Schizosaccharomyces pombe: one gene and its partner. The protein of the gene in region 2 interacts with the protein of the main gene of each other region in a pairwise test. Each region holds a gene or a part of one and is shown on either strand. Other genes may lie near its edges. The genes, in order: hsp16 and rfp1.

Region 1 (3,444 bases), on a different chromosome or scaffold from region 2:
TGATAGAATAGTGTATATTAACGAGATTCGCCGAATTTAAGTTTTACAAAGCCATAGCAATACAAGAGCTTTCGGCTTTACTGTAGAGCTAGATATTATAGCAAACAAGAATTTGGTTTAATCACACACGAAAACCATAACATTCTTAACTTTAAACTGTATGTTGATTACTGAAAAAGAAAGGTACCCTAGGCTATATATTTATGTGTACTTTTTTTTATAGGAAACATTGGATCACCCAAGGATTAGTGGTAGTATGGAAACACTCGCTCAAGGCCAAGGAGATTTAACTACTTTTAGGTTAGCGTGTCCATGAACCAATGAACTAGTAATATAAAGAATAAAAATAGAAAGGAACACATCTATGAAGCCCTTGTCCCTAACATGAAATCACAAAACTTCCGCTTAAACAAACCTTATGGCTCACTAATAAAACCAAAAATTGTTAAGAGCATATTATCAGATCTCCGCAAAAGGAAGACGATTTCATTGCCCCGGTGATTTAAGACTCAAAGAGCATACACAACTTTATGATATGCTAATGTAACTCCTGTTAATTCATTAGGAGCTACATAATACTGTTCTTTTTTTTTGAAAAAAATAAAAATAAATCTACACATATTACGATAGAGCATTTTGAAACAACTTGTTTTCTAATTAGGAATAAAAAAATATTTATTTATTTATTTATTTTGAAAAATTGCTAGAGATCACTTGCTCATCATTGGAGAATCGTAACAAGTGGTAGTCAAGATCATTAAAACACTGTCTGACAGCTGGCCATAAATTGCTTGATGTGGAATTTAAATGCTCTTTTACTGTTTAGAAGACCGTGTTCAATTCATTATCAAAATTCATCAATCCAATGGCAAGCGGATCATTAATTGCATATGTTATGATTGATTGTTAAATCAAACAATAATATATGCTCACAATCCAACAAGATTGGTCTCATAACCATTTCGAAACTATCATATTAAAATCGGAAGAGACGATTTTACTTAATAGCAATTTGTTTCTTAGTTTGGGACTTCTCGACCTTGGGCAAGGTGACAGTCAATAGGCCATTACTGAAGTTGGCCTCAATGCGATCTGCATCAATCTTGGCTGGAATAGTAATGGTACGAGAGAATGAGCCAAAGCGACGCTCTGACCAGCGTTGGTTACCCTCGGTGCTTTCATTCTTTCTCTCATTGACGACTTCGCCAGAAATAGTAAGTTTTCCGCTATCATAATGGACTTGAACGTCCTCTTTCTTAACACCAGGGAGTTCTACATCAACGCTAACAGTGTCTTTACCCTCATGCACATCAATCGAAGGAGACAACTCCCCAGGAATTTGGTTGTTCAAACGAGGGGAGTAACTAACAAAGTCAGAGAACAAGTCGTTGACAGTAGGGGGAAAGCCGAAAAAAGGTTGCAAAGACATTTTTTAAAATTTAAACAATTGCGAGTAACTTGAAATTATATGAATTCAATTCAAATCTGTATTTGTTCGATGCTGGACTAGCGGAAGGAGTACCCTTATTTATACCTTTCTGGGAAGCACGGAATGGGATGGATGTCATATATTGTACGATGACTCGAATTTTCTCGTAAACGTTGTGAAAGATCACGAATTTGCCGGAGTTTGTACTTTCGGAACGGCGTCTTTTGCTAACACTCAAACTCTGTATTGGGTGGACTTAGATGTTCGTTAGTGCTTGCTCTAGAAAAGTCCAAATTTGCCACTTATGCGCCACAACCGAGGCAGATTCAAATATAAACTTCGGTACGCAAGGCTGTGCTATCTTTCTAGAGAGATCTAGAAAATAATCATTCTAGTAGAGTTAGAAAAATACTCATTTCATTGACTGTATATCGTTTCCTTTACCTTATTTTTTTTTTTACTTTGTAGTCAACTAACCAAAATAAAATTTTTAGGACGCATTTAGATTTGTAAATAAACCATAACGTAAGAATTTTTCTTTCTAATCTTATGATTTGAGCGCTTTATTGGCAAAGACGTATTTTGTGCATTCACGCAATTGTTGCTCATGCACTTGAAAACATTTCATAAATCTATAAAACTTATGCGACTTCCTCTTGTTCGTCATAAAATTGTTCTTCTGCAATATCTACGTTAAAAGCATAGCAATATGAATAGTTAATTCCTTTACTTTACACAATTGTTGGGTTAAGTTACGCAAATTTCTGCGATTGTTAACTTTTTAAATATTCAAATAATAAATATATTTGAAGGAATCGGACGTTCTACTGTATCGTCGCACCTCATATTAGATGTTTTTTCCATCATTGCAGTAATGCTCACGGTAGAGTGTTTGATTTACGCAATAAATTTCACAAGTGACTCAATTGGAAGATCCTTAAAATTGTGGGGTACATCCCGTCGCTTACGATTTGCGGAGACGGAGAGTTTTCACAACAAAAAACCTACGTCATTATTTACCCAACATGAGTTTTCCTATTCATGCGCATATCAATGAAATCTATATTATCGTAAAGTCAATTTCGTACAGCTGTCGTTTTAATCTTTAGTTTAGAAAAAAGTAGCTAACTCTCTAGCAAGGAAAATAAATATTGAGGTTTATAACATGATTCAACCACTACATTCGAAAAGCAAATGAAAAATTTACGACGGAAGCTATCGCTCTTTTTTCAATAAACAAACCCTTTCCTGAATTGTTGACAAAGTTTATTATTAATTACTAATAAACAACTATGAGAAAAGATGGGGAAACTGCAAATTATGCCTAATGACTGCCGAATATCATGATATTACTTCCATCTTTCCATTCTGCCGTCTTCTTTTAAGTCTTTTACCTACCGAATAATACATGATCAAAATCTTACTAAAAATAATGTCGTTTAATAACTCATTACATATTACATACCGCATAATGCGAATTGCAATATCCGACGGTTAAAATATAGACATTTACGGTATACAAATGAAGTTTACCAACTCACTAGACAATGTAAAATACACGACGTACTAACTTGCTTTGCTAATTTTGATAAAATGAAGAATTTCATGAAATTTAAAAGTGGAAAACATTAACAGTAAAATATGTATAGGTCCAACAAAACTATGATAACAATGATATATGAAACTCTCCGAACTCATTTGAAAAATAAGACAAAAGACAACGTCTATACTTTAGTTTTTTTTAATCAGAATCATTATCATCCAATTTCTCATACAAGCCGCTATTTACAGCTTGTTGGATAGGATTAGTAACTTGAATAGTACTATTTTTTTCCAAGCTACCAACGTCAGCCAAATATACTCGAGACATATATATGTATTTTTTTAAAAAAAAATAAATAAACAAACAAACTTACCGTTGAAACAAATAGAATAATCTTTCTGCTTCTCGCTCTTTCTCTTCTTGGCTTAACTCAAGTCTTTGAGATTTATTTCTATTTGTGCACATACTCCCA
Region 2 (4,735 bases):
TGCTCCTCTGCTGGTAAATTCAAGATAAATCTAGCTGATAAATCATCCAGCACTTGCGAAAACGTGGCATTTGTGAACGACATATTTCTTTTAATATATAGTAGTCTATTGTTTGCATTTAAAATTCTAAGTCACTCCAAAGCACGACAAATTCGTCAACTTTAATTTTTGTGCGTCTTGGTATTTAAAGCCATTTATGCGTGTGCGTATAACACAGAGTTAGGGACACGTAAAATTACGTACCAACCTTCGTTAGTGATAAACTAAACCATTATTGATTTAGGAATGTATCACACTGCGCTATACTATTGCTCAATCCTTGTTTCATTAAACTGTTAGACTGTAGTTAAAATCACAATTTGCCTTACCTTTAGGTCTTTCGAGAATTTATTTATCCACCAAAAACTTGTTTAATATTCTACAGAACTGATTGAAAATATAAAAAAGCGAATTAATTTTTGCTAAGTACATAAAATCATATGCGAGTTATTTTGGTTATAGGTCGCTCTAATTCTGGAAAGCTAGATTTTATTAAGGGTAAATATTAGTGTTCTATTTGCAATTACTAATTGAAAAGCTTTGACGGGTTCTTTACCGAAGGGGTTAGATGACGAGGCATTTAACAATGATCATTCTGGCTTGATTCATAAGTATAATATCAGAAATAAATATTTTGAAGCTTCGGTTGGTATTTGGATTGAAGAATATTCTAATTTAGCTGAAACTTTGGATGCTTATAGTTCTGAAGAAGCGAAGGAAGTTATTGATAGCTTAGGTGCCATTGTATATACTTTTCGAAGTTTTGATGAAGCTGAGTGGTCTCTTTTTAAAAATTTTATAGATAAACTACAGCTAGAGATTCCGGTAATTGGGTTGCACATGTCAGATGAAAAATTACTAGAACCACCTGATGTGTTTACCCCAGAATATATTTCTATCAGCGAGGAAGGAGTGAATGAATTCAATGGTAAAGTCAACCAATCTTCTATTTATTAACAAGTCTCTTTAGAGAAAGTAGGACTGGACCGTGTTCGAGAAATTCTCGATTGCTGCGAATGGAACTTGTCACAAGTTGATAAAAGTTTCTCGGAAGAAAAGGATGATGCCGGAGATTTCTATCTCCCGGAACGATTCAAAGGAAGTCCAGACATGCAATCGACGGATCTGGATAATTTGATGAAAGAAATGAACCAAATTAGAGGTTGGTAACTCCTTGAGTCGACTAAACTAACAACGAAATTTAGATGCTGACCTGGAAAAAAATGAGAAAAAGGCCAAGGCTTTAAATCTTTTAGAAAAATTGTTAGGCGATGAATTCGAGGAAAATGATTATGAATCGCTGTAGAAACAAGGCCTTTGTTCGTATCCGGAGAATACATGTTGTCGCTGGAGCACAAATTGATGTATAATAACTATTTGAGTTTGCAAGAAAGGTTCAATTAAGTTTTATCAAAGTATTTTTTACTAAAATCTAAATCTGCTGTATTGAAAGAGGACCTATTAGCAACTTAAAAAAAATTCGTAAGTAAAGCTCAGTCACAAATTGTGATAATTTTGGTCGTATTTCATTATTATAGACATTATAAATCCAACACAATGGACTACATTTTCAATGTACAAGGTTCGTCAATAAAATAATTCCCACATGGCATTTTTCGTATTTAAATAACGGCCACAGTCATTCACTAGACATTTTGACTGAGATCGTTTACTGGTTTTCAAAACTTTTGCACAAGAGCCACAATAGACGTGACCACACTTTGTTGCCCATAATGCAGATTTCTCTTTGCTTTTGGATGTTCCTAATGGTTCCTGACATCTTGGACAAACCATCAATGTATCATTGTTAAAGCTTCTAGTAAATCCAGATTTTGGAGGGCCTGGAGGCTTGTAAGACTGTTTTATATTTTCTAAAGAAGAAGTAAAATCATCATATGATTCTTCAAAATGGTTAGAGAAATATTCGTCGTCTGAACCGTTAGTCCATTCTGGATGTATAGCGTCAAATCTCATTCGGTTCACAATCAACTGGAAAAGAGAAGGGGATAAGGAATTAACAGAACTAAACTCAGGAAATGTCCTGGCAATCATTCCCATCAAATCTCGACGTGAAGAAGAACGACGAGTGGACACCTGAGGACCTAAGTAAATCATGTCTTCCAAATACGATAAATGATTTGAAGGAAAGTTACGAGACCGTTCATTCCTTCTCCGGTTCATACGCCTTCTTCGAGGACTTAGAACAGGAGATGATGGAAAGCTGTCATCAGGAATAGCATCCAAATCAATGATATTTGTTGAAGAAATAGAAGTTTCGACTGGTGGAGAAGGTGATCTCGTCAAATCAATTACACTGCTTTCATCTATTCCATTGCTTCCATTAAATTGCATTGATGTGTGAAAAAAGATACACAATTGTTTCCTGTCAAGTAATTGACAACGGGCAAAAAATTAAGTCGATTTATTTGTATATATTTTGGCCTTGCATATATTAACGAAACGGTATTATTTAATATAAAGCTCTAATGTATTGCTGTATATCAAAATACCGCAGACCAACAGTTCGGTGCATTTTTAAGGCAATGTCCAGTATGCTTTATTATTTATAAACTAATGGCTAGTAAAGAAACGTAAATTAGAAGTCGCATTTCTTTGTTTACACATTATCTTTATAAAAAGGAAATGACCTTATGTGATAATTTACTGAGAAGATCAAACGCCAAAGAAGATATGGCGAATAGAGGAATTTTACGAGCTTAATTTAGCAAGAAGAACCAAAAAAATATGCCTCTAGTAGACGATATGGATTTTTTATTAAAGCACAGAAAATGAATTTAAAATACTAGACGATATTTGATAGTACAATTGTTGAAGAATTAGGATTGTATTTATTAAATCCGCTAGATTCTGAAGTTAAACTTTCACAAATGAGTAATTGGAACATCAGCGCTTGAATATCAAGTTCCTGTCTTGAATTTTTTTGAGTATAAATATGATAAATCAAATAATGGATAACACTGCTTTTAGACCAGCATCAAAAGCGAGCGACATTAACAAAGATTCGTAAAGCCTTTAATCATCCCAAGACGAGGTTATAAACAATAACAATCGTGTTTATGGCAATAAGAGGGACTAAAATTTAAAATTAGAAATTATAAAGTTTTTAATACTTACAAGTCATGACAGTTCTTATAGCTCGAATTAAATGCAAAATTCGGCTTTTGATAGTATCTTGTCGATCACCAAATCCCAGGGCAGCACTTTGGGACCATCCAACTATTTTCAATAATTAGAACAACATATTTGGTTAAAATTGTAGTTCATACTTCTTCCTAAAAATCTATCCTCTGAAAGAATAGCAACCGCGTTTAAAAGCAATAAAGTGACTAACAAATTAGAAAGCTGCGTTCAAAAACATCTTACCATATAATATATTTCCAAACCCAAACATAATGCTCGATACTTTTTAATACAATTGAAGTTCAATATTTTTTTTTAAAGGTTTTGGTAGTGATTTAATGCCAGAATACAGCAGCATATTACGTATCGTTATGCAAGTTATGGTTTTCACCTTTGACTGAAAGCAAAAAGACTTCTATAAATTAGAAATTTACATGTTAGATAATAAAAAATCTCCTGAAAATAATAATGTATCAATTTCTTAGCTTCGAACATATTATTAGTGAACTGTTCAGTGTTTTTCAATTGGTATTAATAAAGTATTGTACCTAATTAGCTTGCATATTTTAGAATGTAAATAATTAAAGAAGGCTACCATAGTAAATTGCAAGCTTTGATTTGGTAATGAAAAAGCTAAATATTATACAAAAGGTTCGTCTATTCTAGTTGTAAACGAAGCAGGTAATTTACCAGCAATGGCTTAGAATTTCGGTATTTAGAGGACGAAGATAAACAAGAGCTTCTCTTATTCGAAGTTCAAAACCATTTCTTTAACACGTTTCCGTTCCATTATTTCTTCAGTTTGCTGATTCTTGGTAGACCTGACCAACGAAGAATGCGAGGGAATCTCTAAATATTGAGAACGCTGTTTATTTCCCCTTTTGGTCAATAAAGTAAACATCACGTGCGACGATTCGCTAGCTGATTCCTCATTTCTTGTCACATATGGAGAGCCTAGGCTAGAAGCTCTAAGAGGAAGTGGAACATCAAATCCCGGATTTTTCTCATGCATACGAGTCAGTAAGCTTTCATTAGTTAGGCGCTCAAACTCTTCATCAAGCTCTCTACTTAATTGCATTTCGTTATCAATATCTTCGTCTTCACTATCCAACAGATCAGACTCTTCCAATCCCGATGATTCCTCGTCTGTTTCAGATTCATCTGATATATCTTCCGGCAGATAAACACTTTCTTCATTCGAGCTAATATCACCATCATTAGCACCCTGGAATACTGGACGTGTATCATCTTCTTCCCAATCATCAGAAATGGCCTGAAGCCTTTCCGTTAGAGCATTCCTGGCTTCCTCATAATGCATGTATACTTTCATGCTAGGTCGCACATATCCTATCACGTCTTCAAATTCATAAAGCATATCTAAAGGCATTTCTGGTTGAATGAGAAAATAACACTGATAAGCTAATAGATATGTAAGCATCGTCTTTTTCGTTTTTGAACGGATGATTGATGGTCCACAAGTCTGCAAAACTACAACAATAAGTCTTAATCGAAACATGTCATTGTTAATATTGGTTAATGTTGACGCTTTCATGGT

The links.
Region 1: the proteins of rfp1 (region 2) and hsp16 interact in a two-hybrid assay, tested with the Schizosaccharomyces pombe proteins (one study listed by BioGRID).

The regions. Positions count from the first base shown.
Region 1 is NC_003423.3:2,659,493-2,662,936, forward strand, and holds hsp16 (heat shock protein Hsp16), read right to left. Parts: upstream 1,501-3,444; 5' UTR 1,430-1,500; coding exon 998-1,429; 3' UTR 647-997; downstream 1-646. Other genes in the region: SPOM_SPBC3E7.17 (uncharacterized protein), read left to right, coding at 2,304-2,486; ric8 (synembryn ric8-like protein), read right to left, coding at 2,996-3,158, 3,205-3,267, 3,346-3,444.
Region 2 is NC_003424.3:2,464,869-2,469,603, forward strand, and holds rfp1 (SUMO-targeted ubiquitin-protein ligase subunit Rfp1), read right to left. Parts: upstream 2,442-4,735; 5' UTR 2,392-2,441; coding exon 1,627-2,391; 3' UTR 1,346-1,626; coding exon of another isoform or gene 1,245-1,345; 3' UTR 1,202-1,244; coding exon of another isoform or gene 1,010-1,201; 3' UTR 968-1,009; coding exon of another isoform or gene 578-967; 3' UTR 538-577; downstream 1-537. Other genes in the region: mRNA-decapping complex catalytic subunit Dcp2, read right to left, coding at 1-83; recombination protein Irc6, read left to right, coding at 480-537, 578-967, 1,010-1,201, 1,245-1,345; transport protein Yos1, read right to left, coding at 3,077-3,132, 3,175-3,276, 3,327-3,386, 3,424-3,451; nonsense-mediated decay protein Upf2, read right to left, coding at 3,926-4,735.